Linked DNA regions of Saccharomyces cerevisiae S288C. The gene in region 4 interacts genetically with the main gene of each other region. Each region holds a gene or a part of one and is shown on either strand. Other genes may lie near its edges.

Evidence for each region.
Region 1: mutations in PFK2 (region 4) and BCS1 together harm fitness more than expected from each alone (negative genetic interaction), as found in Saccharomyces cerevisiae (2 studies listed by BioGRID).
Region 2: mutations in PFK2 (region 4) and TIR4 together harm fitness more than expected from each alone (negative genetic interaction), as found in Saccharomyces cerevisiae (2 studies listed by BioGRID).
Region 3: mutations in PFK2 (region 4) and ALA1 together harm fitness more than expected from each alone (negative genetic interaction), as found in Saccharomyces cerevisiae (2 studies listed by BioGRID).

Annotation. Positions count from the first base shown.
Region 1 is NC_001136.10:1,223,262-1,228,176, reverse strand, and holds BCS1 (bifunctional AAA family ATPase chaperone/translocase BCS1), read left to right. Parts: upstream 1-1,640; coding exon 1,641-3,011; downstream 3,012-4,915. Other genes in the region: ARH1 (NADPH-adrenodoxin reductase), read right to left, coding at 1-1,355; WIP1 (Wip1p), read right to left, coding at 3,151-3,420; PHO92 (mRNA-binding phosphate metabolism regulator), read left to right, coding at 3,783-4,703; FRQ1 (frequenin), read right to left, coding at 4,846-4,915.
Region 2 is NC_001147.6:342,495-347,772, forward strand, and holds TIR4 (Tir4p), read left to right. Parts: upstream 1-1,840; coding exon 1,841-3,304; downstream 3,305-5,278. Other genes in the region: YOR008C-A (uncharacterized protein), read right to left, coding at 363-587; TIR2 (putative GPI-anchored mannoprotein), read right to left, coding at 3,701-4,456. UniProt on the Saccharomyces cerevisiae protein: Component of the cell wall. Required for anaerobic growth.
Region 3 is NC_001147.6:944,862-951,541, reverse strand, and holds ALA1 (alanine--tRNA ligase), read left to right. Parts: upstream 1-2,432; coding exon 2,433-5,309; downstream 5,310-6,680. Other genes in the region: KRE5 (Kre5p), read right to left, coding at 1-1,769; MRS2 (Mrs2p), read right to left, coding at 5,534-6,680. UniProt on the Saccharomyces cerevisiae protein: Catalyzes the attachment of alanine to tRNA(Ala) in a two-step reaction: alanine is first activated by ATP to form Ala-AMP and then transferred to the acceptor end of tRNA(Ala). Also edits incorrectly charged tRNA(Ala) via its editing domain.
Region 4 is NC_001145.3:670,043-676,482, reverse strand, and holds PFK2 (6-phosphofructokinase subunit beta), read left to right. Parts: upstream 1-1,716; coding exon 1,717-4,596; downstream 4,597-6,440. Other genes in the region: YMR206W (uncharacterized protein), read right to left, coding at 1-587; INP1 (Inp1p), read left to right, coding at 5,158-6,420. UniProt on the Saccharomyces cerevisiae protein: Catalyzes the phosphorylation of D-fructose 6-phosphate to fructose 1,6-bisphosphate by ATP, the first committing step of glycolysis.

The DNA.
Region 1 (4,915 bases), on a different chromosome or scaffold from region 4:
TTGATATTAGAGAGGTCGATAGAATTCTCTAAGGATAGCGCTCCGCTGACCACCAAGTCTTGTATTACTCTGTCTCCAACTTCAAAAGCATCTTGCATTGTCGAGGCAATAACGCCCTGGCTGCCCTTACGGATCCAACCAGATGCATATAAATGTGGGAATATTTCTCCGCTGGAAGTTAAAACACGACCCTGTTTATTAGCTATATGATCTTTGTCAAATCCAATAGACAACTTAGAGAATTCAGGCATGGGAACGCCTGCATATCCCAATGAAGTAATCAGCAAATCCACTTTATATGTCATAATATTATTGACGTCCTTCAAGGGTTGCAAACTGTTATCTTCATTTAATCGATTGTTACATAAACTCAAAGAGTTGATTGCACCAAAATCGTCTCTATTAATTTTCAAGGGAGTCTTCAAATAATCTAACTCCCAGAATTTGTCATATCCGCTGCTTGGAGGAGGAGCCTTTTTATAGTTTTTCTTCGAACGTTCATTAAATGGCTTGAGATACTCACTACACATCTCTACTCGTCTATTGAATGCACGATCGTACTTAGATGGGTCAAACATTTCTTTCTGGAAAAATTTAGGATCAATACGGCCACGTATGCCATACTTTTCTAACTCCCATAGTTCTCTTAATTCTTTGTTGGTGAATTTGGAATGAACGAAATCCCTTCGTGCAATTAGCTTAACGTCCTTTACAGGTGCCCTTCTTAGCAAATTTAGTGCAAGAGATGAGATGTCCGTATTTTCCCATATTTCATCAATTTGATTAGAAATAAGTACACGCGTAATATCAAGAGCAACGTTACCGTTTCCTATAATACCAACTTTCGAAACTTTGCTCCAGTCAAAATCGGTAAATCGCTTATCCTTTGCGAAATCAGGATGACCATTGTACCAATTGACAAATTCTCTACTGCTAAACACCCCTTTTGTTCCGAGTTCGCCAGGGATATTCAGCTTTCTGTCCCCTGTACAACCATAACTTAAAATAACAGCATCTTGATTATCCAGCAATTCCTTCAACAATATTTCTTTTCCAATGGTTATACCACCAACAAAGGAAAATTTATGCTTTTGGTTTGTAGGGGAAGAAAACTCTTCTGCACATGTGGTAAACGTTTCTTCACAATTTTTGACTTCTGGATGATCAGGTGCCACACCATATCTACTTAAACCAAAAGGAACAGGTAACTTTTCCCATATAGTAACATTTAATGGAATCGGTGACTTCTTGAGTAAATGGTACGCTGTATAAAAGCCGGAAGGCCCCGATCCAACAATGGATACAGTCTTACGGTTTATTTGTGAAGAAATGTGCCTTATTTGAACAAAGCTCATTTTCACAAGTAATGAGCTAAAAAAGGAAGAAGAAAGAGTGAGAAACTTTCTAAATGAATGAATGAGGCGTTGTGGCCAAGAACTATAGCAAGCAAAAAACTTTCTGTTACGTTCGAGCTATAGTTTACTGCTCTTCGAATTATATCTCGATTGAGTTACCCTTAAAGAGTGCCGAAAAATCGATGTAAATAGTATAAGTAAAGATTTCCACTCTTCTATATTTGCAACGCAGTAGACGTACCAAGGGACGATTTGAAAAAAAATGAAGTGTGCCCTCAATCTACCATGTCGGATAAGCCGATTGACATACAATATGATAAACAGGCTACTCCAAATCTGAGTGGTGTAATTACTCCGCCAACAAATGAAACTGGTAATGACTCAGTCCGGGAAAAACTTTCAAAACTAGTTGGCGATGCTATGTCAAACAATCCCTATTTTGCCGCCGGCGGTGGTCTTATGATCCTTGGTACAGGTTTAGCTGTAGCTAGATCCGGTATAATAAAAGCCAGCAGGGTCCTATACCGACAAATGATTGTCGACTTAGAGATTCAGTCGAAGGACAAATCATACGCCTGGTTTCTAACATGGATGGCCAAACATCCTCAAAGGGTATCTAGACACTTATCCGTTAGGACAAACTACATACAACATGACAATGGATCAGTTAGTACAAAATTTTCGCTGGTTCCGGGTCCGGGAAATCATTGGATTCGTTATAAGGGTGCTTTTATCCTGATTAAAAGAGAAAGGTCCGCAAAAATGATAGATATCGCAAACGGGTCACCATTTGAGACCGTAACCTTAACTACACTGTACCGTGACAAACATTTGTTCGATGACATTTTGAACGAGGCTAAAGACATAGCCCTGAAGACTACTGAGGGCAAGACTGTTATTTACACTTCTTTCGGCCCTGAATGGAGAAAGTTTGGTCAACCAAAAGCTAAAAGGATGCTGCCCTCCGTCATTTTGGACAGTGGCATCAAAGAGGGTATTCTCGATGACGTTTATGATTTTATGAAGAACGGCAAATGGTACTCTGACAGGGGTATCCCATATCGCAGGGGATATTTACTCTATGGCCCTCCCGGATCTGGTAAGACTAGCTTTATCCAGGCTTTAGCGGGCGAATTAGACTACAACATTTGTATTTTAAACCTCTCCGAAAATAATTTAACAGATGACAGATTAAACCACTTAATGAATAACATGCCAGAAAGGAGCATACTATTACTGGAAGATATTGACGCGGCGTTCAACAAAAGAAGTCAAACTGGTGAACAAGGTTTTCATTCTAGCGTAACATTTAGCGGTTTACTGAATGCCCTGGATGGCGTCACATCTTCTGAAGAAACTATTACATTCATGACTACCAATCATCCTGAAAAGCTAGACGCGGCTATAATGAGACCAGGTCGTATTGACTACAAAGTCTTCGTTGGTAACGCAACTCCATACCAGGTAGAAAAAATGTTTATGAAATTTTACCCAGGTGAGACTGATATATGCAAAAAGTTTGTAAATAGTGTTAAAGAATTGGATATCACCGTAAGTACCGCCCAGTTGCAAGGACTTTTCGTTATGAATAAAGATGCACCACACGATGCGTTGAAAATGGTCTCCAGCTTACGGAACGCTAATCATATTTTCTAGGTGCTAAGTGGCGCCTTACTACATAACTTGTATATAATAAAAATTCAGAAGATGCTTTAACTTTTTCTCGTTAATAAGACCGAGTTATTTGCTATTACGAACAAAAGAGTATATGATAAAGAGGCTTAAAAATACCCCTTCATTGACTATCCAGAAAAGCCTGCGTTGCAGCTTCAATATGATAAGGATATACTTCCCTCAAACCTTCTGCAGTTGCCCTTGTTCTAGCATCCAGCAGAATTTTTCTTAAAATGGCCTGAAATCCACATGCCAATAATAATTTCTTGTTATATTCTTGACTAGACTCTTGATCTTCATTTTGCCGTTGGAGAAGATCTTCTAGCTTATTCTCCTCCGCATCTAAACTAAGCTGCCGTAGCAAATAATTGGCCAATGCTTCCGTATCCATGGAAGAATGTTAGGAACTGTTGCTATTGTTGTACTTTGGTTATACGACAGTAAGTAACGTTGACTTGGTGACCGAAAATAGACACGAAATCGCTACCCGTTTCCCCAGAATATCACTCCTCACGATGTACCTCGGCGGCTAATCTTTTTGGTAGCCTTTTGTGATATATATATAAATAAATAAGTATACATACATATATATATATATATATTTATACAGCTACATTGTTTTCCTCCAAAATTTTCTGTTGGTTATGAATCGCAAAAGAAGTTTTCAGATTGTGTCCTCTGTTACTATTTCGTTAAGAAAGGAAGATATCGTCTACGGCTGGTGTGACGTAAGTATTGCGTTGTGCTCTAAAAATGAATCAAATCTGGTCTACAGGTCCCCCAAATTTTTACTTCAACTCTGAATGGAAAGAAAATAAGAGAAATGACAGGACAATTGAAGACTCTTTAAGAGAACTAGATGGGTTGATCCATTCCTTGGAGAGAACTCATATTGAAGTACAAACAAACCCAAAGCTAAAGAACGATGTCACAGCTTTAAATGATATTAACAAGAAAGAAAATAAAGAAGAGATCACTCATGAAAACTATACACACCAGATTAATAGTATTCCATTGACAAGCTCAAATTTAAATCGGCATTTCTCCTTTTCTAGAGACTACAACCAATCTGATAATAGCAATAATAATTATTACAGGGAATATTTATCCAAACCAAGGTATTTGCAGCAGTCAACTAAAGAACAAACTTTCAATGAAATTAATAAAAGAAAAAGTGCTGCAATTATTCCCCCTTGGTTAAATATTCCAGAAAACTCAAGATTTTTTGTAATAAAGTCCTCGTCTTTGAAGCATGTCAAAAGGTCGTTTTACAACGGAATTTGGTCGTCTACTCATTTCGGCAACAAAAGGCTATCTGAGGCATATAAAAAGCTTAATTCGGGAGCCAAAGTGTTTTTATTTTTTTCAATCAACACATCAGGAAGATTCTGTGGCGTTGCAGAAATGGTATCGGATTTGAAAATGGATTTGGACACCAGTATATGGGAAGATGAACAAAAATATGGCAAAGCCTTTAAAGTAAGATGGGTGATCGTGCGTGATATAAATAACAGATCGTTAAAAAGGTTTTTGATACCATCCAATGAAATGAAACCGATAACACATTCCAGAGATACTCAAGAAATTCCATATTCGATTGGAATTTCAATAATTAATCTATTTAAAACTCAAGATTCTGATATTTTCTCCTTCTTGGATGAGACGTATGAATAGACCTTATCCCTCATTTATCAACATTTTATTCTCATTTATTATTAGTATTATTATTATTTTTAATATTATTTTTATTTAAAATTATCCTAAAATTACTTCTACTGTTATAACATCCAATCCATAAGAAGCAAAAACAAAGTTTTCATATTAAGCCATCGTAAAGGTTTAAGGCACCAATAATAGAGGGATCGACTTTAGAACCTTCTCTGAAT
Region 2 (5,278 bases), on a different chromosome or scaffold from region 4:
CTCCTCTTGGTTATCTCTCTTTTTCTCTCTCCTTATTAAAAAATTTACGGACAACGAGGAGCTTCTTTCTTGTTTACCTTGATTACCCTTTAAGCAATAACAATATCAATACGAGATTTTCTGTAATGTTAGTGCCTGGTCGAGTTTACTGTATCGTCCAAGAAAACTACACTGCGTTAAATTCTTCCAAATGAGGCTATGATACGCCAAACACTTTTATTTTTCCCCTCCGTTTCTCTCGCTTTCGCTTCGAAAATTACATTATTTTCTTCCCCATGCAGCGTTATTTCCATCTTCAGAGAGGAAAGGCGGAGAAAATTTTTCTTGAGGAAGGAATTCTACGAAAGTAGTCAACTATATTACTAATCGTTTGACATAGAATGCCAAAGTTGCAGCTTTTCCACTAACGTCAAATTTGCGTAACAAGCGCTGCTGTGTAAACTGTCTTGCTTTTTAATAGGACTGACAAAAATTATAAGCGGAGAGATAATATTTAATACTGCCATTGACCTTAGTACCGGTACAGGACAATATGTTTGTATCCTTGGTGTCATAAAGAAGAGAAAAACAAGATAAGATCTCCACATTATTTTGCAGAAGGCGACTTTGGGGGCCGATGATATCTGCTTCCAGAAGTATGTAAAAAAATTACACACCATTAAGTTCTTATGTAAACCGAAGTCTGGAAGAGAGGTGGTGGAATTTCCAGTCTGCTACTAGGCAAAAAACTTGAAACACTTTCATATATGATGTTGTTTTGCCGAGCTATTACAAGACGATTTATCATAAACTACTTGCTTGAGCAGGAACGATTTCACAATCTGTTTAGCAGGTTGTTATGAAGTAGACACGATAAAGTTCTTGAAGAAAGATTGTGGATGGGTTTGCTGAAGCTTAGAACTAAGAAAAGAAACAAGCACGCGCAAGAAAACCGCTACGGCTAACTTCTAAGGTGAGGATATTGTGATTGTTTATGCCTCATATTTTGCGTTTTTATATGTTCTTCCTTCATACGGCGTGCAAATTATCCGCCGGCGAACAGGGTGCTATTCTAAAAGGAACTTTGAAACTGTAAACGCGGTGTACTGAAGGGGTCATCTGAACGAACAATATTTTATGCTTTTGTTAGCCAAACGGTACTGATAAGGGACTGTGAAAAAAAAAAGACAATGTATGGGGTTCACGGTTTCCCAGATTCGTGTGTGTGTAATAATTCGTTTACGGCGCACGACAGACACTTCAGGAAATTTAAAGATCAGAATAGGCATACACTCCGCGCAAGGAAAACAAAAGTTGCTACCGTAACCGGCTCGTACGGGGAAAGCAAGGTCATCTAGTGCTCACTTACGAACTGGCATAATCGAGTTGTGACTTCCAAACTTAACCGTACTCTCACAGCTGATGTGATCCGAAGAAAACCCTGAAGATACAACAATGGCAACCAAAGGCAACTTAAAAAGGCAAACGAAGTACTTTTCAACAATAGCTTACACTGAAACTCGCGGAGAGGCGACGCTGCGCGCGAATTATCAGTAAAAATCTCGTAACAACCCATCTGCCACTTTTAGAAGGAATGGAAATTCTCAAAAAATGACGGAAAATAATAGAACAGGGTTCCTAAACGATGCATTTCTAACAAGTAGGATAGTCCAAAAGGGAGGATGCAAATTCTTTGTTTTCCACGCAGTAAGATATGATCCCAAGCTTTCGAATATAAAAAGGGAAGGATCGCTAGGACAGATCAGTTTTTAGCCCGTTTACTTATCTCGTTCCCTACTCTTGTTCTGATAGAAACCAGCAACAAAAACCTATTCACTCGCTTATTAATACCATAAAAAATATGGCTTACTCTAAAATCACATTACTAGCCGCTCTTGCTGCTATTGCTTACGCTCAAACCCAAGCACAAATCAACGAATTGAACGTTGTTTTAGATGATGTTAAGACCAACATTGCCGACTACATCACCCTATCCTACACTCCAAATTCAGGTTTTTCCTTGGACCAAATGCCAGCTGGTATTATGGATATTGCTGCGCAATTGGTTGCAAATCCAAGTGATGACTCCTACACCACTTTGTACTCTGAAGTGGACTTTTCTGCTGTTGAGCATATGTTGACTATGGTCCCATGGTACTCTTCTAGACTGCTTCCAGAATTAGAAGCAATGGATGCTTCTCTAACTACCTCAAGTTCTGCTGCCACATCTTCAAGTGAAGTTGCTAGCTCTTCTATTGCTTCATCCACTAGCTCTTCTGTTGCACCATCCTCAAGTGAAGTTGTCAGCTCTTCCGTTGCACCATCCTCAAGTGAAGTTGTCAGCTCTTCCGTTGCACCATCCTCAAGTGAAGTTGTCAGCTCTTCCGTTGCTTCATCCTCAAGTGAAGTTGCCAGCTCCTCTGTTGCGCCATCCTCAAGTGAAGTTGTCAGCTCTTCCGTTGCTTCATCCTCAAGTGAAGTTGCCAGCTCCTCTGTTGCGCCATCCTCAAGTGAAGTTGTCAGCTCTTCCGTTGCACCATCCTCAAGTGAAGTTGTCAGCTCTTCCGTTGCTTCATCCTCAAGTGAAGTTGCCAGCTCCTCTGTTGCGCCATCCTCAAGTGAAGTTGTCAGCTCTTCCGTTGCTTCTTCTACAAGCGAAGCTACTAGTTCTTCTGCTGTCACATCTTCCTCCGCTGTTTCCTCTTCGACCGAGTCTGTTAGCTCTTCCTCTGTCAGTTCTTCCTCAGCCGTTTCCTCTTCTGAAGCTGTCAGTTCCTCTCCAGTTTCCTCAGTTGTTTCATCTTCGGCCGGACCTGCTAGCTCAAGCGTTGCTCCTTACAACTCAACCATTGCTAGCTCTTCTTCCACTGCCCAGACTTCTATCTCGACCATTGCTCCTTACAACTCCACAACCACCACCACCCCAGCTAGTTCTGCTTCCAGCGTTATTATCTCAACCAGAAACGGTACCACTGTTACTGAAACTGACAACACTCTTGTCACCAAAGAAACCACTGTCTGTGACTACTCTTCAACATCTGCCGTTCCAGCTTCCACCACCGGTTACAACAATTCTACTAAGGTTTCAACCGCTACTATCTGCAGTACATGCAAAGAAGGTACCTCTACTGCAACTGACTTCTCTACACTAAAGACTACAGTTACCGTATGTGACTCCGCCTGTCAAGCTAAGAAGTCTGCTACCGTTGTTAGCGTTCAATCTAAAACTACCGGTATCGTTGAACAAACCGAAAACGGTGCTGCCAAGGCTGTTATCGGTATGGGTGCCGGTGCTTTAGCTGCTGTTGCCGCCATGCTACTATGATTTTAGTACGTGTCGAAAATGTTCGTTCCGCTTATGATTATATTATTATTTCAACTTACCAGTTAATGCTTAACTTTTAAACTGTCATATGTACTTCTCTGTATTATATAAAAACTGACAACTGGCCTTTTCTATTGTTGATTTCTTTCATCCATCGTTAAATATTTTCAGAATGTGGGCAGGAAGACATGCATGTTTGAAGGTGCCTATCCTAGCATCATCATAAAAGAAAACGGTAAATCATTTCCGTTTTCAAAACGTACACTACAGCCTCCAGTTGATGAAATCAGTTCTCACAATAATTCGAGGTTTAAAAGAAACAGTAAAATTTAAAAAAAACTATTCAATAGATAAATTGGTATATACGAACATTAAAAATTCCATTTAAAAATGAGATTATAATAACATGGCGGCAGCGGCCATGACACCAGCACCCATACCGATGACAGCCTTGGCAGCACCGTTTTCAGTTTGTTCGGAAACAGTGCTAGTGGCTTGAACTTGACCATCACTGATTTGAGAAATGGCGGAGGCTTTGGTGGAAGAAGCAACAGCTGAAGAAACAGCAGAGGAAGAAGCCTTAGTGGAAGAGGCAGCCTTGGTAGAGGAAGCGACGGTGGAAGAGGTAGCCTCACTGGAAGAAGCGACAGCAGAAGAAGTAGCAGCAGAAGAAGAAGCTTCACTGGAAGAAGCGACGGCAGAAGAAGTAGCTTCACTGGAGGAAGCGACGGCAGAAGAAGTAGTTTCACTGGAGGAAGCAACAGCGGAAGAAGTAGCAGCAGAAGAAGCTTCAGTAGAAGAGGCAGCGGTGGTAGAAGTTCCTAACAAGGATTCCAATTCTGGTAGAAGCCTGGAAGAATACCATGGAACCATGGTCAACATCTTGCTAACAGCAGCAAAGTCAACCTCAGAGTACAAAGTAGTGTAGGAGTCATCAGTGGCGGAAGCCAAAGCTAAACCGATGTCTAAAACACCAGATGGCAGACTGCTTAAGGAAAATCCAGATGAAGAATCTTCAGCCAAACTAATATATTCTTGCAAGTTGGACTTAACGTCATTCAAAATAACGTTCAATTCGTCAATTTCTTCCTGAGTTTGGGCAGAAGCCAAAGCAGCGATAGCAGCTAATAAAGCGATCTTGATGTAAGCCATTTTTTTGTTATAGTTGAAGCGAGTGTACGAGTGTGTTTTGTATTATTGTGCTGATAATGGCTAAACTGGAAAAGAAGATGATATGTGAGAGCTCTCATTGTTCGAATTTCGTTAACTACTTATATATTATTTTCCGTAGTTACGAAAGTTGAACATTACTTTGTTGTTTTCTTGCTTACTCGTTTACTCACATGATGCTCAGCTATTAAGATAGTTCAGTAGAACATCTTACACTAAACTTTGCACCACAATGTTGATGGTTGCTTTGGGAGATCATTACGGAAAAAAAACTCTTGGCTTTCAAGGATTCCCTGCGACCTAACTCTGCACTCCTTCTGCAAGGTACTGTTTATTTTTTTCGTGTGTCCTTTACGAGGAACGAATAAAGGCTTGAAAGGTAGTTTTAAAGATGAACTTCTTCTTTTCTTTCTTTGCCTATGATTCCTCCAGGGTTTTCTTGCCTTCTACTTTTGGACAGAAATGTCTTTTTTGGGAAATGTGAGTCTCGTTTGGGAATCTTGGCCGGCCAAGATTTTATAAAGATGTTTCTGTAGGCAACGCGCTGCTCTAAGCACCGTGGGGAGGCCATGAAATATGATTGCGCGTAGTTCCCCAACGTTACGTTTATTTTTTTCTGGGCATAAAAAAAGCCAAGACATTCCCCACTGCTTTCCTACAGGCTCTCTATTGTGTATACTTTGCGCTATTGTGTGCTTTGTTGTTGGTCCGAAGATCGCATAAGAGGCACGCCTCTTATCAATTTCTTTATAGGCGGCTACCGCCAGTGGAGTAAAATTCACGCCTTTTTTGTCCACTCCTTTT
Region 3 (6,680 bases), on a different chromosome or scaffold from region 4:
ACTTTTGCAATTAAATAATTCCAAGCATTTTTTCTAAATGGGTAAATCTCTCCATTGATTATAATTGATGTTTCGTCAATTTGAAGTTCATCAAGTAGATGGAAAACATCTGGAACTGGTATGTGTTTTGAATGTTTTGCATTCGCGGAAAGGCCATCTGCAAGCAGCATTGTCTCCAAAAAACTTTTTAATTCTGTTAAATTGTCAGTTGAGTTCTTCAGCTCGTAAATTTTATTAACAACGGACTTGTCACTATCTGAACTAAATGGCAATAGTCCGACTCTTTGCGGATATCCCTGGGAGACAACATTAACGGCACGAACCAACCCACCCAATGCCTCCTTCACCTCACTATCTTCTAAACGGGCGAAATCTATAACGAATATGATCTCTGACCAGTTTTGCTTTATTTCAGGCAACTCTCCGAATTTCGATTTATCAAAAAATGCTTGAACACTATTTACTAATTCGTCATATTGCGGGTCGCTTTCGATATCATTGAAGTATATTACTGATTCTGAGAACCCTGGAATTGTGTGGAGATCCATTTTGATTGGTTGTAAGTTTTGCAACTTCCCCAATGAAAATTGAGAAAACTTATTGAGTAAAAACTTGGAATCTAGTATGCATTTCGATGGCTCGAGTTCTTGCAAAAGGTTCGTAATTTTCAGTAAACTTTGGTATTCAGTTTTTAAAGCAGTAAGCAAATTGTACGGAGTCAGTGAGGTAATTTTCCAATTCTGTCCATTAATATAGAGACCTAGCATGTTGTAATCGAAGCCTTTACTATTGAGTTCTTCATTACTTGTTATTATATCCTTGTTAACAGATGAAACCTTAATCAGTTGTTTAGAGATTAGTGGAAAGTTGTTAACAATACTTTTGGTGAAATTTAGAGTGGCTGTGATATCCTTTTTATATTGGTAAAATTCTGAGATTAACGATGTTACTCTCAAATCAAGTTCACGTAATTCTTCTGGTTCTAGATCATGGAGCTGATCATCGTTGTCTGCTCCAACCAATATTTCTTTGGGTACAGTATATAGTATTTTTTTTAATTGAGGTATGGAGCTCATTCTAGAACCATTTTGTAAAGTAATTTCAAGCGGATGAGTTAAGGGATACTCCACGCTTTTCCCATCAAGGGAACATGTGGATCTCCAAATAAATCTAAATTTTCCCTCTCCATTCATTGCTTCCATAAATAAATTCCTATTGAATTCTTCGAAGTCGGAGTCAATAACGGTAGGACAACCGTACAAGATCAATATCGGCGCTTCTGAGTTAGTACCAATGACAACATCGTAAGGTTGTATAACATCAACATCTGGGACTTTCTGTTGAATTGTTAAATCCTTAGATTTCAAGTAGAACACGTCGTCGGGCTTTTCGTACCTATTACCATTCAAAACGAAATAGCTACTATTTGCATCGTCTTGTTCTGCATTGGAACTGATATCGTGCTGTATCATACCCATAGGGTAAAGACTAGCATACAGTTCCAATAAATCAGCCACATCCTCTTTATCGTATCGCTCCCTTAATACATTGGAAGTTAGCGCCACAAGATTTTCTTGAATATCAATCTCGTCATCCAAACCGGTAACCAAAGGATATAAATTAGTTAACAGCTGATTATCAACATCGCCCAGTAAATGAACTAAAATAGACCAGACCTGAGCAGATTCGGGTATGCCATATCGTAAGCTATAAGTCCATGCACGAAGCGGCGCACACAACAATAACAATACCAACGCAAGTAGTCTCATAATCAACAGAGGCACTCACACTGATACGTCTATATTCTACCAGGACAATTAATCTTTAATATGCCACGTTATATAGTTAGTTAATTAGTATACTAACTATATGAGTTATTGACAATCCGGGTAATGCACACATTAATAATCTTTCATGTCTTTCGAATCAACTGAAATTGGATATATACGTAAGACAGAGCGTGCTGAGCAAGATTCAAATTGTTCTAGTGACCCACCAAAGCTGTATCATGCCATGTTCAGAGACGACTACACCAAGAAGTTAAGTCTAAAATCAGCAATATACCGTCCTATGTTAGCGGTTTTTAGTGCCCTGCAAAAAAGTCAACGATGACCTGAATAATTTGCAGATTAAACCTAACAATTCAGAACCCTATATTTTATTTAATCATGATCAACGGATTGGCCGTTTCTTTTTTCTCTTTTTTTTCATCCGCTCGATGGATGATGAGTAAAACAAGAAAAACGCAGTTGGCGACTGCTATCAGATATGAAAGCAGTTTGATTGAACAAAGTCGGTTTTTTTTAAATAGAATTACAAAAAAGGCGTGCTTCCAACATCTTCTTATTTAAGACAAGACGACGTCAACTACCGGATTAAGGAACTTGACTCTTTCTTTCAAGAAGCAATTAACTACATCAACTAGAACCATAATGACGATCGGTGATAAGCAAAAATGGACCGCTACTAATGTCCGTAATACCTTTCTAGACTATTTCAAATCTAAAGAACACAAGTTTGTCAAATCCTCTCCAGTAGTTCCATTTGATGATCCAACTTTACTTTTCGCTAATGCCGGTATGAACCAATACAAGCCTATCTTTTTAGGTACTGTCGATCCAGCTTCCGATTTCTACACCTTGAAAAGGGCTTACAACTCTCAAAAGTGTATCAGAGCTGGTGGTAAACACAACGATTTAGAAGATGTCGGTAAGGATTCTTATCATCATACCTTTTTTGAAATGCTGGGTAACTGGTCGTTTGGCGACTATTTCAAGAAGGAAGCTATTACTTACTCATGGACTTTGTTGACTGAAGTATACGGCATTCCAAAGGATAGATTATACGTTACCTATTTTGAAGGTGATGAAAAGTTAGGCTTGGAACCTGATACTGAAGCCCGTGAACTATGGAAAAATGTTGGTGTTCCCGATGACCATATATTACCTGGTAATGCAAAGGACAACTTTTGGGAAATGGGTGACCAAGGCCCATGTGGTCCTTGTTCTGAAATTCACTACGATAGAATAGGTGGTAGAAATGCTGCTTCCTTGGTTAATATGGACGACCCTGATGTCTTGGAAGTTTGGAATTTGGTTTTCATTCAATTCAACAGAGAACAAGACGGGTCTTTGAAGCCTTTACCTGCCAAGCATATCGACACAGGTATGGGGTTCGAAAGATTGGTTTCTGTTCTGCAAGATGTTAGATCTAACTATGATACCGATGTTTTCACACCTTTGTTCGAGCGTATCCAAGAAATCACTTCAGTTAGACCATATTCTGGCAATTTTGGTGAGAATGACAAGGACGGTATCGATACTGCCTACAGAGTTTTAGCTGATCATGTCCGTACATTGACTTTTGCCTTAGCTGACGGTGGCGTTCCAAACAATGAAGGTAGAGGATATGTTTTGAGACGCATTCTAAGAAGAGGTGCCCGTTACGCCCGTAAATACATGAATTACCCAATCGGTAACTTTTTCTCCACTTTGGCTCCAACTTTAATTTCTCAGGTTCAAGATATCTTTCCCGAATTAGCCAAGGATCCTGCATTCCTCTTTGAAATCTTGGATGAAGAAGAAGCTTCTTTCGCTAAGACCTTGGATCGTGGTGAAAGACTATTTGAAAAATATGCTTCTGCTGCTTCTAAGACTGAATCTAAGACTTTAGACGGTAAACAAGTTTGGAGACTTTACGACACTTATGGTTTCCCAGTCGACTTGACTGAATTGATGGCTGAAGAACAAGGCTTGAAGATTGATGGACCCGGTTTCGAAAAGGCCAAACAAGAGTCATACGAAGCATCCAAAAGAGGTGGTAAGAAGGACCAAAGTGATTTGATTAAGTTAAACGTCCATGAATTATCCGAGTTGAACGATGCTAAGGTGCCCAAGACTAATGATGAATTCAAATACGGCAGCGCCAACGTCGAAGGTACCATTTTGAAACTGCATGACGGTACCAACTTTGTTGATGAGATCACTGAACCAGGTAAGAAGTACGGTATTATTTTGGATAAAACATGTTTCTACGCCGAACAAGGTGGTCAAGAATATGACACTGGTAAAATTGTTATTGATGACGCTGCTGAGTTTAATGTTGAAAATGTTCAATTGTATAACGGTTTTGTTTTCCACACCGGGTCTTTAGAAGAAGGTAAGTTGTCTGTCGGTGACAAGATTATCGCTTCATTCGATGAACTACGTCGTTTCCCTATTAAGAACAATCATACTGGTACACATATCTTAAACTTTGCTCTGAAGGAAACTTTGGGTAATGATGTCGATCAAAAGGGTTCTTTGGTTGCCCCAGAAAAATTGAGATTCGATTTCTCTCATAAAAAGGCTGTGTCAAATGAAGAATTGAAAAAAGTTGAAGATATCTGTAATGAGCAAATTAAAGAAAACTTACAAGTGTTTTACAAGGAAATTCCATTGGACTTGGCCAAATCCATTGATGGTGTTCGTGCTGTCTTTGGTGAGACTTACCCAGATCCAGTTCGTGTAGTTTCTGTTGGTAAGCCAATCGAAGAATTGTTGGCCAACCCAGCTAACGAAGAGTGGACCAAGTATTCTATTGAATTTTGCGGTGGTACCCATGTCAACAAGACAGGCGATATTAAATACTTCGTCATTTTAGAAGAGAGCGGTATTGCAAAGGGTATCAGAAGAATTGTTGCTGTTACTGGAACTGAAGCCTTTGAAGCTCAAAGATTGGCTGAACAGTTTGCTGCTGATTTGGATGCTGCAGACAAGCTGCCGTTCTCTCCAATCAAAGAAAAGAAGTTGAAGGAACTTGGTGTCAAACTTGGTCAACTTTCAATTTCTGTTATCACAAAAAATGAACTGAAGCAGAAATTTAACAAAATTGAAAAAGCAGTGAAGGATGAAGTTAAGTCAAGGGCCAAAAAAGAAAACAAACAAACTCTTGATGAAGTGAAGACATTTTTCGAAACCAATGAGAATGCTCCATACCTAGTTAAATTCATTGATATTTCTCCAAATGCTAAAGCTATCACTGAAGCGATCAACTACATGAAATCCAATGATTCTGTCAAAGACAAGTCAATCTATTTATTGGCAGGTAATGACCCTGAAGGTCGTGTTGCTCACGGTTGTTACATCTCCAATGCTGCTTTAGCCAAGGGTATTGATGGTTCTGCGCTTGCCAAAAAGGTGTCCAGTATCATCGGCGGTAAGGCTGGTGGTAAAGGTAATGTTTTCCAAGGTATGGGTGATAAACCAGCCGCTATAAAGGATGCAGTTGATGATTTGGAAAGTTTGTTCAAGGAGAAGCTTTCCATTTAAGAAGTTAAAATAAAACGAAAAATAATGCATAGGAGTTCTTTTTGTTTATTTTGCTCTTAATAAAAAAGTGTCATTGTATAATTAGTCTTAGTTTAATTATTTATGTTTTTACAAGGACAAAAGATTTGCTGTTAAAAAGAGTTTTAAATACCCTTTTTTCTTACATATGTATATATACAGGTTTATGCTAATAATATTGTATAGTTTATCATGATAATCGCCTTTCAATTTTTCTTGTCTTCTATCAACCATTTCCAAATCATATCTCTGTTCTGCTTGTTCTTAATATCATTCTCCATGTTAAATTTCTTCACCTTTGAAAAACCTTTATTAATCTTATTATTCGACAGGTTAGCCTTATTAGTGTAGCTGCTGCCATAAAGTAGCACTCCCAACCGCTGCTTGGTTGATTTCCACCACTTCCGCCTTCGCTTTAGTTTATTTGTCAGGGCAATAGACGCTGATGTTTTAGGATACACACTGGAGTTTGCGGGTGAGTTTGGATACATGGTCATCTTTGTCACGGATCTTAAAGAATTAAAATTTTTCTTGGTGATATAAAGGGCAGAAACAATAGAAAATACCGCCACTGAAGTAAACCCCCATTCACTCTCCTCGATGAAATTCTTTAAATTCATACCATAGAATGCCGGCAGAACAGATGCTACTGTGAATCCCAACGTGTAGATGGTAACTTTCAACTCCAACAACATTAAGGAATTTCTATTTGCGTCCAATATGATGTTGACAATTTCTTCAGTAGATTTGATATCCTGAATCAAAGATTCTGATTGCTGAACGTATTCATCACATTGGGTGTAGTACGTCTCTATAAGCATTTCCAAGTCCGAAAAATTGTCCTTAGGAGACTTCTTAACTGTCAAGTACATGTTTGCTAAATCATCGTCGTTTTCTAATAGTTCATCTAATAGATCTCTAATCAATAAAGTTTTTTGGTAAAAAAGCGTAAGATCTTTGGACTTAATTAAAAGATGCCGCAGTTTAAGTCTATTGACCTCGTTTTCCAGATCATTTAAGATTTGAATACAGATTTGTGAGTGAAGCTTGAAATCTGTTTCCAGTGCGCTCATTACGTTGATGAAAATACTCTCGAGGGCTCTATGCTCGTAAAATTGAGAGTTATTCTTGGTGGAGGACAACTTAGACTCCAAGTCATACATAAGTACACTCAGTTTGGCAGCGGCGGAAGGGTTTGTTGTATCGAAGACGTAGACCTTATCTCGTTCGATAAGAGCTTTGATATGCAATAAGTTGATGACAATACAGTTTGGCTTACACATGATGGTTGGAATAATATCAATAGAGGAGTTATCTATTTTCCTCAGGTCTCTGGGGAAAAGGGAATGTTCA
Region 4 (6,440 bases):
TCAGCCGCAGACAGTGCAGTAGAAGGAGCAGACTGATGATAGTTTGGTAAATACTTGACTCTCTGGTCTGAATCCGCAGCGTACGAGGCGATCCTTTGAATGTCCTTCGTGGGCTGTACAAAGTTTTTTGTTGTTACCTTCTGTTGCTGCTGGCGGTGATGCAAGGAGGGAATATGAGAATCGCTGAACCTTCTTGCTATGAACTGATGGTTGTTGTTGCTAGGCGACAGGTTATGTACACACTGATAAAGGTCGTAAATGTTCATAGAATTAGACAGCCTCTGTTGTCTTTTAGACATGAAGTCCCCGAACAGGTCTGTATTACAAGCCCCCTCGTTATGTAACTTCTCTCTTGGTGAGCACGATTCCGAAAATTCAGAGTCGTTATCGTTGATATTGAGCACCGTTTTAATGAACTCATGTTTCTTATTAGGAGTGGGAGATCTGTTACTCTCCAGAAAATAGTCGTCATGATGGCCACCACTTCCGGCACCGCTTCTCATATCCTCCCCCTCTTCCTCCTGAATAGCCTTGTAATGGATGGTTAGATGGGCAGATATGGGTCTATTGCTACTGCTACTCAGCATGGTTATATTCTGTTGTCTTCTTTACTTTAAGGCGAAAGGTCAGACAATATGCATATATATATATAGTCTTCGAATGCACGGCAAAAATGATATGAAGAGCTATGCTACAGTATATACTTCTTTGTTATTGCAATCAACGTGAGCCTTAACCAATGAGGAAGTAAGAAGGAAATAAGAAGTAAGACATAAAATAAAACTACAAAAAAGAAAGAAGATCCGCAAAAACCCAAGAACAGCATTGTAAGTACTACCATCTATATAGATCGAATATCCTACTAATATATAGTAACTGCCACACGAAAAACTGTGGGTGTAAAGACTATTCATAGCCATTCTCTGCTGCTTTGTTGCATCGTATCATCGCCCGTTTCAGCCAGTCCCGCATACCCCCTTTGCAACGTTAACGTTACCGCTAGCGTTTACCATCTCCACGCTAAAAGGAAAACGAAGATTAAGATAAAGTTGGGTAAAATCCGGGGTAAGAGGCAAGGGGGTAGAGAAAAAAAAACCGGAGTCATTATATACGATACCGTCCAGGGTAAGACAGTGATTTCTAGCTTCCACTTTTTTCAATTTCTTTTTTTCGTTCCAAATGGCGTCCACCCGTACATCCGGAATCTGACGGCACAAGAGCCGATTAGTGGAAGCCACGGTTACGTGATTGCGGTTTTTTTTTCCTACGTATAACGCTATGACGGTAGTTGAATGTTAAAAACGAAAACAGAGATATTGAATTGATCAATTTGATCAGTACGTATGTAATCTTTTGTTTGCCATGTTAAATCGGCCTTTTTTTCCATCCGGTCTTTATCTACCATTCATTTATTACATCGCAATGAAGTCTCTCGCTTCATGTTGTTGTTTTTTTTCCTGCCTTTTTTTTATCCGCTCTCATTCTTATTTTTCCTACTTGCATTTTATAAAACAATAATATTTTTTTCTTCTTTTTGTCCTTTATTTATTACTTCCTTGATTAAAAGCTTCTTATCTTCGGTTTCATAAAGAAGAAAATTCCTTTTTTTTTTTTTTTTTCCTTCTTCTTGCTTAAAAGCCTTTCTTATACCTCATTTGAACAATAGAACTAGATTTAGAGACTAGTTTAGCATTGGCCAAGAACTAACCATACGCAATGACTGTTACTACTCCTTTTGTGAATGGTACTTCTTATTGTACCGTCACTGCATATTCCGTTCAATCTTATAAAGCTGCCATAGATTTTTACACCAAGTTTTTGTCATTAGAAAACCGCTCTTCTCCAGATGAAAACTCCACTTTATTGTCTAACGATTCCATCTCTTTGAAGATCCTTCTACGTCCTGATGAAAAAATCAATAAAAATGTTGAGGCTCATTTGAAGGAATTGAACAGTATTACCAAGACTCAAGACTGGAGATCACATGCCACCCAATCCTTGGTATTTAACACTTCCGACATCTTGGCAGTCAAGGACACTCTAAATGCTATGAACGCTCCTCTTCAAGGCTACCCAACAGAACTATTTCCAATGCAGTTGTACACTTTGGACCCATTAGGTAACGTTGTTGGTGTTACTTCTACTAAGAACGCAGTTTCAACCAAGCCAACTCCACCACCAGCACCAGAAGCTTCTGCTGAGTCTGGTCTTTCCTCTAAAGTTCACTCTTACACTGATTTGGCTTACCGTATGAAAACCACCGACACCTATCCATCTCTGCCAAAGCCATTGAACAGGCCTCAAAAGGCAATTGCCGTCATGACTTCCGGTGGTGATGCTCCAGGTATGAACTCTAACGTTAGAGCCATCGTGCGTTCCGCTATCTTCAAAGGTTGTCGTGCCTTTGTTGTCATGGAAGGTTATGAAGGTTTGGTTCGTGGTGGTCCAGAATACATCAAGGAATTCCACTGGGAAGACGTCCGTGGTTGGTCTGCTGAAGGTGGTACCAACATTGGTACTGCCCGTTGTATGGAATTCAAGAAGCGCGAAGGTAGATTATTGGGTGCCCAACATTTGATTGAGGCCGGTGTCGATGCTTTGATCGTTTGTGGTGGTGACGGTTCTTTGACTGGTGCTGATCTGTTTAGATCAGAATGGCCTTCTTTGATCGAGGAATTGTTGAAAACAAACAGAATTTCCAACGAACAATACGAAAGAATGAAGCATTTGAATATTTGCGGTACTGTCGGTTCTATTGATAACGATATGTCCACCACGGATGCTACTATTGGTGCTTACTCTGCCTTGGACAGAATCTGTAAGGCCATCGATTACGTTGAAGCCACTGCCAACTCTCACTCAAGAGCTTTCGTTGTTGAAGTTATGGGTAGAAACTGTGGTTGGTTAGCTTTATTAGCTGGTATCGCCACTTCCGCTGACTATATCTTTATTCCAGAGAAGCCAGCCACTTCCAGCGAATGGCAAGATCAAATGTGTGACATTGTCTCCAAGCACAGATCAAGGGGTAAGAGAACCACCATTGTTGTTGTTGCAGAAGGTGCTATCGCTGCTGACTTGACCCCAATTTCTCCAAGCGACGTCCACAAAGTTCTAGTTGACAGATTAGGTTTGGATACAAGAATTACTACCTTAGGTCACGTTCAAAGAGGTGGTACTGCTGTTGCTTACGACCGTATCTTGGCTACTTTACAAGGTCTTGAGGCCGTTAATGCCGTTTTGGAATCCACTCCAGACACCCCATCACCATTGATTGCTGTTAACGAAAACAAAATTGTTCGTAAACCATTAATGGAATCCGTCAAGTTGACCAAAGCAGTTGCAGAAGCCATTCAAGCTAAGGATTTCAAGAGAGCTATGTCTTTAAGAGACACTGAGTTCATTGAACATTTAAACAATTTCATGGCTATCAACTCTGCTGACCACAACGAACCAAAGCTACCAAAGGACAAGAGACTGAAGATTGCCATTGTTAATGTCGGTGCTCCAGCTGGTGGTATCAACTCTGCCGTCTACTCGATGGCTACTTACTGTATGTCCCAAGGTCACAGACCATACGCTATCTACAATGGTTGGTCTGGTTTGGCAAGACATGAAAGTGTTCGTTCTTTGAACTGGAAGGATATGTTGGGTTGGCAATCCCGTGGTGGTTCTGAAATCGGTACTAACAGAGTCACTCCAGAAGAAGCAGATCTAGGTATGATTGCTTACTATTTCCAAAAGTACGAATTTGATGGTTTGATCATCGTTGGTGGTTTCGAAGCTTTTGAATCTTTACATCAATTAGAGAGAGCAAGAGAAAGTTATCCAGCTTTCAGAATCCCAATGGTCTTGATACCAGCTACTTTGTCTAACAATGTTCCAGGTACTGAATACTCTTTGGGTTCTGATACCGCTTTGAATGCTCTAATGGAATACTGTGATGTTGTTAAACAATCCGCTTCTTCAACCAGAGGTAGAGCCTTCGTTGTCGATTGTCAAGGTGGTAACTCAGGCTATTTGGCCACTTACGCTTCTTTGGCTGTTGGTGCTCAAGTCTCTTATGTCCCAGAAGAAGGTATTTCTTTGGAGCAATTGTCCGAGGATATTGAATACTTAGCTCAATCTTTTGAAAAGGCAGAAGGTAGAGGTAGATTTGGTAAATTGATTTTGAAGAGTACAAACGCTTCTAAGGCTTTATCAGCCACTAAATTGGCTGAAGTTATTACTGCTGAAGCCGATGGCAGATTTGACGCTAAGCCAGCTTATCCAGGTCATGTACAACAAGGTGGTTTGCCATCTCCAATTGATAGAACAAGAGCCACTAGAATGGCCATTAAAGCTGTCGGCTTCATCAAAGACAACCAAGCTGCCATTGCTGAAGCTCGTGCTGCCGAAGAAAACTTCAACGCTGATGACAAGACCATTTCTGACACTGCTGCTGTCGTTGGTGTTAAGGGTTCACATGTCGTTTACAACTCCATTAGACAATTGTATGACTATGAAACTGAAGTTTCCATGAGAATGCCAAAGGTCATTCACTGGCAAGCTACCAGACTCATTGCTGACCATTTGGTTGGAAGAAAGAGAGTTGATTAAAAGAAAATGACCTTTTATTACACTTTCTATTATTAATGTCAATTAATGTTAACCCATGTTTTTCTTTTGTGTCTATAATTCTTTTTTTTTATCTCTAAGCTTTTGAACAATGAATTTTTTGTTCCTTTCTTTTAATAATACAAGTACTACCCCATGAAACCAATATTATCATGCATTTTTATGAATGTCAAGAATAAAGATACTGTTATTTTTTGTGTCTTATTTTTTTTCTCTTTGTTTATTTAAACGTTTTCTAAAATTAAAACTTATGTATACTGGAATATGTGATATAGACGATTTAAAAGATAATTCCAATAAACGTCCCTCGGATCTCATATTTATAAAGGTACCCTTTTAATACAATATTTATACATGTGCGTTAAATACTTTGTTCTCTTATTATCTATGAACTTATCACGAAGAACGGAGATGTAAACAAAAAGAGTGAATGAACTATGAACTTTAAATTACCTTATTACGGAGGAAGTATTCCTTCACCTATGAAGGATACAAGGTCTACATTTTTCGTCTGATAACTCTCAGGAAATTAAACAAAGTGGTATGGTTTTATCAAGGGGAGAAACAAAGAAAAATAGCGTGAGATTAACGGCAAAACAAGAAAAGAAACCTCAATCTACGTTTCAAACTTTAAAACAGTCACTTAAACTTAGCAACAATAAAAAGTTGAAACAGGATTCGACCCAACACTCAAACGATACAAATAAATCTGTTAAAGCCAAAAAAAATGGCACGTCCTCGAAGAAAACCGGAACACAAAGGAAAAGAATATCAACTCAGAGATTTTCATTGTTTACCTATGGCAATGTTCAGGTTATGAATTCATTCGTTCCCATTCATAATGATATTCCGAATAGCAGTTGCATTCGTAGAAATTCCCAAGTATCCGCAAATAATGTCACTGAAAGTAGTGGAGTATTCTTCAATGATACGCAAAGTCAAGACAGTCAAAACACTATTAAGTTAAAACCTACATCTTTAATGGCAAAAGGACCTATTGAAATATATCAGATATGTACAGGGTTTGATAAGTTAAAGGAAAATATAGCGCCCTTTCAAAAATCTAGTAAAGCTAGTAGTCATGATGGGCATGTAGTAAACTATTTATCGATAGGACGACATGGTGATATTGTGCATCCAGTACTACCCAAACTACAAATAACAAGGCTAAATGGCGCAGGTTTCAAATACTTTATTAGCTTTTATAATCCGGAACGGTACTGGGAAATCGAATTTCTACCTTTGATTAGTCAATCCCAATCAGAGTTGGAAAATAGTGTGAAAGCTTTTGAAAACGTCATTAGCAAAATTTGCCAATTTTCGCATATTAATGAAGGAGCTACTATTGGGAATAATGAGTCTTTGAGCGATAAATTCAAACTGCCGCCTACTTCGGACATAGAGCCCCCCAATACTGAAATAATTAATAATGATGATGATAACGATGATGATGATGATAATTATGATGATGACGACCTTAATTACTTGCTGGATGAAGAATACGAACAAGGATGTACAGATAATAGCTTCTCCGTGATATCGAACACTTGCTCTAATCTAAATGCAAGCTTTCTCTATCCGAGCGACCCTACCGATGCCGTGTCAATCTCCATAAATGAAGCTTTCAAAAATGCTATCAGACGAACCGCTCCTGTACTGAATATTCCAATAGCAGCCCCAAGTATTCATTCGAAACAGCAAAACAAAAGATATAGTTCATACCCTTTTATCGACTCTCCCCCGTATCTGCAGGACAGGCATAGAAGATTTCAGAGGAGATCCATATCTGGTCTTGGCGACCTTTGAATGAAGTTCAAAGCATAACT